Linked DNA regions of Arabidopsis thaliana. The protein of the gene in region 1 interacts with the protein of each later gene in a pairwise test. Each region holds a gene or a part of one and is shown on either strand. Other genes may lie near its edges.

What was found. Proteins that work in one complex are often made in the same cells at the same time.
Region 2: the proteins of AT2G43220 (region 1) and AT1G75710 interact in a two-hybrid assay, tested with the Arabidopsis thaliana proteins (one large-scale study listed by BioGRID).

What each region holds. Positions count from the first base shown.
Region 1 is NC_003071.7:17,962,397-17,966,718, forward strand, and holds AT2G43220 (Cysteine/Histidine-rich C1 domain family protein), read left to right. Parts: upstream 1-1,822; 5' UTR 1,823-1,943; coding exon 1,944-3,560; 3' UTR 3,561-3,815; downstream 3,816-4,322. Other genes in the region: AT2G43210 (Ubiquitin-like superfamily protein), read left to right, coding at 1-404, 593-835, 926-1,164; AT2G43230 (Protein kinase superfamily protein), read left to right, coding at 4,079-4,111, 4,197-4,264.
Region 2 is NC_003070.9:28,426,992-28,431,852, forward strand, and holds AT1G75710 (C2H2-like zinc finger protein), read left to right. Parts: upstream 1-1,679; 5' UTR 1,680-1,814; coding exon 1,815-2,401; intron 2,402-2,489; coding exon 2,490-2,587; intron 2,588-3,433; coding exon 3,434-4,137; 3' UTR 4,138-4,348; downstream 4,349-4,861.

The DNA of each region.
Region 1 (4,322 bases):
AGAAAAGGAGCCAATTCGTCCTACAGCCCCAGGAACAAATGATAATACATCCAGGGTTCGATCTTCTGTTGATAGAAAAAGGAAACAGGGAACTGTGATAAATGAAGAGGATAGTGGTGTAGGTGTTAGTGGAAGGGACATTAATCTAACAAAATCTGTCGATACAAAAGAGACCATGAAGCCAAAGGATGAAGGAGGAGAGGAAGAGGATGGAGAAAAATCCAAAAAAGCATCTGACGTTCATTTAAACATTCGATTACCTGATGGTAGTAGCCTTCAGGAGAAGTTTTCTGTGACAAGTATATTGAGAATGGTCAAGGATTATGTGAACAGTAATCAAACAATCGGACTGGGTGCTTATGATCTTGCGGTTCCTTACCCACGTAAGGTGTATACTGACCAAGGTACGTAAAATCTACAATGCATCCAATAGATTTTTATTTTTATTTGGTAAAGAACATTTTACCTTAAAACCAGCTTCATCTTGATCGAAGATGATGTTTTCTGCCATTTAGGTTTTTTTTTTTTTTTTTTCTGGTCAGTTTGGACTAGTGTAGTAGATACATAACTCCATTACTCTTAATCTCTGCAGATCTGGATAAGTCTCTATCCGAGTTGAGATTGTTCGATAGACAAGCACTTGTAGTAGTTCCGCGAAAAAGAGCAACCGTCTATCAAAGAGGAACATCTTACTCGGAGTCTAACAACAACACAGACCCTAATAGTGGCGGTTACTTTGCTTATGTTAGAAGAGTACTGTCTTATGCAAACCCGTTTTCATATTTTGGCGGTGGTACTGCCAACGCATCAAGCTCTGTTCCAGAACGTCAAACAAGTATGCGGGAATATGATGAGTTTATAAAATCCATTCTAATGCAGAAAGTCGTGTAATTGCTAATCTGATTCTCTCTTTTTCTATCTATAGGACCAAATACGGAGGTGAGAAACAATCTGGGGCAAGTAGGGACGTCCTTTCAAGATCCATCAGAAGGTAGGAGCAACGTTAGGAATAGGAGACCAACCACTTCTCGGATTGGAAGTAACATCCATACGTTGAATCACAATGAAGATGAGGCTCCGTTTGGTGATGGAAACGCTTTTTGGAACGGAAACTCCACACAGTACGGTGGTGGAAGCGGTGGAGACAGTAATGATAGACGATGAAATAAGAGAAGTTGAAATCTGTGTGGATAGATACAGAAACAGCTCGGGTGTTTACTTTTTATACTTGACTCTTTATGAACCATTTAAGAGACCAGCTGCAAAATGTATCCTGATGCGTTTCCGTTTTTTCGGTTGCTCGTATTAAATTTAAATCTAAAAAAACTAGCAATTTCTGTTTGATTAAATTCGGTTCTAGAAATTAATTAGTGTCGTTTGATTAACTTCGGTTCCAATCATAACAAAAATATTAGAGTTAAATGGTTGCTTAAATATAAGAATCTGTATATTCTTTTCTATGCAAGTGAAGACTTCATTGAACTGTGAAAAGGCGTTCACTGACAGCTTCTTGTTCTCCTAGCGGTTTCCCTTGTGCTCATCCTCACACCTTCCAAAATATTATCAACTCGGATAACAAAACATATATATGTGATCAACCAGACAATTTTTTAATATATATTTCTATAGTCAACGATGAGTACGCATTTTAATAATCCGGTGAAAGATTAGTCGGACTAACTAAATAATTTTTTTGACATATAATAAACACTTGGACCCCCCAAATTGAGCCTTAAGAAAAGACTAAACCAGTTCTATTAGTTGCGTACAACTAACGATGATCAACTTGAGTGATTTATATCGGAGATCGTGGGTAGTGATACGGGTCAACAATATAAGGATTTAGAGATCAATTAGGAATTGAAGTTAAACCTTTTCAATTTTCTTAAAGTTCCCTGATCCTTATTCATTCATCGTATCCACAACCATTCTTAACATTGCCCATGGCTAAGACGCTGGACCTCTTTTGGCACGAACATCCTTTATATGAAAAATATCGTATGTTCACTTGCCAAGAGTGCCATAGGAGTGCTATACCCTTCTTTGAAGTTTTTTATGGATGCTTCAGATGCAATATAAAATGGCATCCCTATTGCGTGCCAAGGTCAACGAAGAATATTAACCACCCTTGTCACCCGAACCATCCCCTAGAGGTTCTCCTCCAAGGGCCACCTAGTTACTCTGACGAGAAGTGCAGCCTCTGTCAACGGAAACTCTCCAACTTCGTTTACCATTGTAAGTTATGCAATTTCAGCATAGATATGGAATGCGGAAACAGGCCCCCGCCCCACAAAGTGGATCATCCAAAGTGCCACGAGCATGCACTCACCCTCATGGGAAGGGAAGTATCCTTCACTTGCAATGCTTGTGGTACGCATGGTGAACGGAACCCTTATGTATGCCTACCATGCTCTGTCATGTTTCATTATGATTGTATTGATCTACCACACGTCATCAACATCAATCGTCATGATCATCGCATTTCACATTCATATCCTCTCAAACGTGGGAATTGGGTATGTGAAATCTGTCGTCAAGATATCAACACCACGTACGGAGGCTATTCATGCAACAAATGTCCAGATTTTTTTGTTCATTCAAAATGTGCAACTAGAAAAGACGTGTGGGATGGGACCGAACTCGAAGGGATACCTGAGGAAGTAGTAGACGTTGCGCCATTTGAAGTGATCGAGGAAGGGGTAATTTATCATTTCTCCCACGAGAAACATAACTTATTCCTTATTGAGGATGTTTTTATAGATGGTGCTGAAGACATGCATTGTGAAGCTTGCGCCCGTCCAGTCTCTTCTGAGAAGCACTACAAGTGCGTGGAATGCAAGTTTATTCTTCACGAAGAGTGTGCGAATCTTCCTCTTACGAAACGACATGGACTTTCCACAGGTATATTTTATCTTCGCTTCGGGAAGGATTTTAGCGAACAAAATTTCAGTTGTGATGCTTGCAATAGAGATGGAAGGGGTTTTAGCTACAAGGATGAAGAGGGTGTGGTACTCGATGTGTTGTGTGCGTCTCTCTCTTTCTTCAAGCACCCCAAACTTCATCCTCACACGTTATTTCTAACCACAATAGATCGTGGTACTTGCTTAGCTTGCGGTGAGAATAAACTCAATGTGCTGCGTTGTGTTGATTGTGATTATTCTTTGGATTACAAATGCGCCACTCTACCATTAGTCATAAAGCATAGGTGTGATACACATTATTTAGTTTTGCGCTCTGGGGAGGAGGCGCCTGAAGGTAAATATTGGTGTGAAATCTGTGAAGCCGAAACCAATCCTGAAAGATGGTTCTATACATGCGATGATTGTGGGGTCGTGTGCCATATTGAATGCGTAACCGGGGACTTTTTGAACATAAAACCTGGAATAATAATGAAGAACAGGGAGAATAAGTTTGAAGTGGGTTTCAACGATCACGATTCTAGACCAAAATGCACTGATTGTGGCTCTCGTTGTAGGTTCCCTAGGTTTTTCAAGGTTACTAGAAAAAATATTGAGTACTACTATTGCTCAAAAGCTTGTTTTCAGAATGCGAAATTCTGAATGCCTGAAGGAAGGCGAAAGGAAGGATTTGGAAACATAAAAAGAATATGGGTTTTTACAGATGGAGGCTGTGTAATGTTTTTCAATTATTTTCAGATAAACTTGTTTTCTATATTTGGATTTATTGTTGGTTTGCTCATTCAGTTCATAAAACTATTTATGAGAAAGAGAGAAAGAGAGAGAGAGAGACTTTGAAGGTAATTATTCTTCACACCTTTTATTATAATTCACCAAAATTGGGATGTTTGTTCTATTCTTGATCACACGCCTCTCTGTCGCTTCCTTTTGACGTTTTCTTTCTTTTCTTAGCTTTTTCTTTTATCTTTTGTGTTTTCTGTCTTTTCTTTTCCGTAGTTATTTGGGATTCCAAATTTTTTTCATTCCTAAATTTCTCCACGAGCTCATCACCTCCTTTCGTCTCTGCCTCTCATTTGTCTACAAACATTTTTTCCTTTTGATTCGTCTCTCTGGTTTATTGCTCGTTGATCGTTTGTTTCTAAATTGCATTCTGATTTCTGATGGATCGTGATTTTCATCGTCGTGGTCAAGTGGTAAGCATTACACGCAAACACAGCTTTGATCATTAAAAATGTCATCTTATTTAAATCATGTCTTGAGATCACGTAATGGTCTTAGGTCAATCAAGATCAACGCGCAACAAATTCTAATGTTTTTACAAAATTTGAAAATACTTATCTACAAATGTATTTATAAAGAAACCTAATTTGCCTTTGTGTTGATCATGATAGACAATTGTTGTTA
Region 2 (4,861 bases), on another chromosome or scaffold:
TAAATTCCATTGTCACCGGACTAACAATAGTATTTTAAATGTTACGTACGTAAACAATTACTACTTTACTTTTCGTTTTTTGAAATTCAAACTTGTTTATGAATCAAACATATTCTCAAGATCTCGCGCTTCGTTTCTTCTTTTGTCTCAATGAACATAACATATTTAACAAAATTTTAAACGAAATGACTTTATAACAATCTCTGGTGATTTTTATAACCAAAGTTTAAAACAAAAGAGAAGGACAAATGTGGAACACGACAAGTGAGAAGGCCAAAGCGACTGCGTGATAAATCCAAGTATTGCGGCGAATGTGAAGGTCTTAGAATTTTACATATAGTCAACGATCAACCTTAAAATCGTAGTTTCTTTTGATTGCTACAAATTTTCACCCTAAATATGATTAATTTACTTTTATGTTATTGATGATGAATGATTAATATAATTACTCGAAATTGTGTGTTGTGTTTGAACGCAATTACCACAATCTAAAAATATACAAGCTCACTTGAGTTATCACATTAAAAATGTTCTTCCCATAATGTCGACATTTATTACACATTAAATTATTATTTATTTAGTGCATTAAACTGTTTTTTATGATAATCAGTATATTAATAAATGAATTTACACCCATACTTTTTTACACAAACTTCAAGTGTAACTCCACCTCTATTTACTGTACTGAGATTAGTTTATGACACCCTATCCTAATTACTTTGAAAAAAATAGTCTATCAATATGAAGTAATACATTGCATAAATCTGAAATACTTACATACAAACTGAGACCAAAAACTATTGAAGTAAAAATGATATAAATGTACCAAACTATTTAGGAAACAAGGAATTAAGAGCATTGAAATTTTCAAATCGAGACAAATAGAACATTTGGAATCCGTAATCACAGTTCCAAATACGAAGTTTCCAAAGACCTTGTCTGGTGTTTAACGTGTAATCTTGTTCTGTTAAAAAAATACTTTTGACCATACATATCAACAACATCATTTTTAGAATTATTATTATTATTATATTTTTGATGTACTAATTAATTCCATTTCTTTTCTTGTTGTCTTGCTTGCATTCATGGAATCTCCAAACTTTGATTTTTAAAACTAATTATTTCTGTCATCAAACTTGTTTTAATGGTGAACTTATACATTTTTATTATGTAGTAACGACTATTAATAAAGAGATTCCATTCAAAGTTTTGAGTATAATAACCAAACAAATCAATACTACCAATATAAACATCAGTGACGTTGACTAATTCCGCCTTTAAGAAGGTCAAACTGTAATGGAAGATTATAGATGAAGCAGTTAAAGCACATACAAAGCCAACCAAGCTCGTCCAAAAAAATTAACTTCAAGATCTTCTAACTAATTTATAATCATCAAAAAAGTAATTTACTATCTATCCAAAATCCATAATTAAATACTGTTTTTTCTTTTGAGGAAAATCCACAACTAACAAAGCAAGCAACCAGATGCCAAAATTAATTAGAAAGATATTTTTCTCTGACAAAACAAGATATCTGAATATAGTTAAATTAGTACCCTATTTTCTATTAAAAGATTATAATTTTAATAAATTCGAACGACAAGAATATTAATCAGAAGGGTAAGAAAGTAAAACTGTAAAATAAAGAATTAAAGAAAGATAGAGCCCACTACTTTAATCTTCTTCCCTCCTTATTACCCATCTTGGATCCATCTTCGATTTCAACACCTAAAAATAAAAGCTTATAATTAAAGAACCATAAAGACGAACACAAAAGAAACTCTCACATTCTCAAGAGTTTCTTTCTTCTTTCAATGGCTTTACTAACTTTCTTGCCGGAGAACGCAGAGGCGCCACAAAAACACAAGCCAACGTCTAGCAAACGAAAGAAACGCGATAATCCCACCGACCAAACGCAGACACAGAAACATAAACCGCAGAAACCGAAGAAAGCAGTACCTCCGAAGCAGCCATCTTCATGGGACCAAATCAAGAACCTATTGACTTGCAAACAAATCGAAGGGTCAAGAGTCCATGATCCTTCCAAGAACTCTCAATCTGGTCCGTCCATGACAACTAACTTATCTCCTTCCAAGCTTGGCTCGTCGTGCAGCTCCATTTGCAGCTTTAGAGACGTGGCTCACGGCAACACTCGTGTGGTTCATAGAGCTGATCACTCACCAGACGTAGGTAACTCGGCTACTCCTAACTCGGAGACTCGGCTTCTGACTCGGAAACCTGGTCAACACGGTTCTTCTTCGTCTCGGTCTCTTACATCTGGCTCAACGAGATCTAACGCCAGTGGGAGTTACACGTCATCGTCAACGACTTCGTTTAGAGCCATGCAGTTCCGTAAACTCTCCGGATGTTACGAATGTCACATGATCGTTGACCCGAGCAGGTAATGACACCAAAAATTAATTATGAGTAAGTAAATGTTCTTCTGAATTATATTTTTGTAATTTCATTTTCATGTTCTTGAATTTTAGGTATCCGATTTCGCCTAGGGTTTGTGCTTGTTCCCAATGTGGAGAAGTTTTCCCCAAGCTTGAAAGCTTAGAGCTTCATCAAGCAGTTCGTCACGCAGGTAAGGCTTTTTTTTTCCTTTTAACAAAAATTGTTTGACTTTATCACTTACCTCAAATTAATTAATTACGCTTTAGCTACAATTTTTTATTTTTTGGTGTGTGGTAGTCACATTTTTAAATTTAACCCTAAGTATCTAGTGAGATTTTCGTAAATGCGAATGGCTTGGCAAAGTAAGATTATGTTTTGTATCCTTGGAAAAAAACTTAAGATCTCAGTCCATGATTTGACTTGTGAATGATGATACAACCTTTGTTTGTTTAGTATTGATTGAATAATTAGCATTAACACATGTTTTCCGGCGTATAGGCCCTTGGATTTATCGATAGATTTACCATAATGCTAAGCAAATAATTAACGAACATGCTTTCATTAATATATATCTTAGACTTCGTTGTTTCTTAATGGAATCAAGATCTCAGTGTTATTGTCGGTGATTATATCGATCAAATAAGTTAGGATGATTTGGCCGTATGTTACAGATTGTTTTTGGAATAGAGATTCATACGTATTTTTAGAGAAAGATACAAAAGAGAATAGGAATATAACTGGAGAACAAGATATATTCTATGGTCTCCAAATCCGTCGTTTTGCTTGGAAACACTTACCATGCGATGGGACCATTGTACTATAAAAAGAAACAGCTGTCTCTGCTCTTAACTAAATTCAATGTCCCCCTGAAATATTACGTGTCATTTTTCAATTCGACAGTATCAGAATTAAAACCCCTCACCTGACAAAAACCGAATTATAGAACTGTCTTTAATGTCCCAAAAACTCAGATTTTTGTTTTGACTTGCATATTTTTCCTGATTTTATGAGCAAAAACGTTGTCGTTTAATTGCAGTTTCGGAGTTAGGTCCGGAGGATTCGGGTCGAAACATAGTGGAGATCATATTCAAATCAAGCTGGCTTAAAAAAGACAGTCCCATCTGTCAGATCGAACGGATATTAAAAGTCCACAACACTCAACGTACGATCCAACGGTTTGAGGATTGCCGAGACGCAGTGAAGGCGCGTGCACTTCAAGCAACCAGAAAAGATGCTCGTTGTGCCGCCGACGGCAACGAGCTCTTACGTTTTCACTGCACCACTCTCACTTGTTCACTCGGAGCTCGTGGCTCTTCTTCTCTCTGCTCTAACCTCCCTGTTTGTGGCGTCTGCACCGTGATTCGCCACGGTTTCCAAGGAAAATCTGGTGGCGGAGGAGCCAACGTCGCAAACGCCGGTGTGAGGACGACGGCGAGCAGCGGAAGAGCTGATGATTTGCTGAGGTGTAGCGATGATGCGAGGAGAGTGATGCTTGTGTGCCGTGTGATCGCTGGGAGAGTTAAGCGAGTTGATTTACCGGCGGCGGATGCTTCGGCTACAGCGGAGAAGAAGTCAACGGTGGAGGATAACTCGGTGGTTGGAGTTTCTTCGAGTGGTGGTACGTTTGACTCGGTGGCGGTCAATGCTGGAGTTTATTCGAATCTTGAGGAGCTTGTGGTTTATAACCCGAGAGCTATATTACCTTGCTTCGTGGTTATTTACAAAGTTTTAGAATCTTGAATTTGTAATTTTAACTTGAGAAATAATGTTTGTTTTTTGTACTTCTAACTTTTTAATATTATAGGGAGAGATTAGGGATAATCATCAACCTGCATCATAATTCCCATCTTATTATTGACTATTAAGTGTAATTCTCAGGAGTCTAAGCTAATATGTTCTTGGTTATCTCTATTATTGAAAATCATGATTAGGTTAAGAATTCAGTAGTCGAGTGGGTTAAAAATCATGATTATGAATTATGATGAACTTAACGTGTTATTTCTCAATTTAGGCTTTTTGACCAGTAAATGTAACATTTTGTTAACTATGGTAAATTTCATAGCTGTGTTCACACTTGGTGGGAATCAAATAGTGTGGGAGTGGCAGAGTGATATAATTGCTATCACATGCGTTTTCAGTAAATTATTTTATTCACCCAAGTTCTTTTCGTTATTTTTTAAGAAATATTTATAGGGAAAGCTGATTTTGTAAAAGTTGGGTATTGTATAGTTTTAATTTAGTAGTTATATAGTGTTGTCAAAAAAAGAAGAAGGAAATAGTAGTTATATGGTATGGTTCAGATAAGTTCAAAATTTACCCATAAATAAAAAAGGCTTGCACGCTGAGAGGGTGCACCATTGGAACTTTCCTCGTTGTCAGAAGCTGCTACATTGTTTATTTTTATAATAACTCGATTTCTCCTTGGAGTTGCAAATGAAATCAGAGATTTAGAATCAAACCAGTT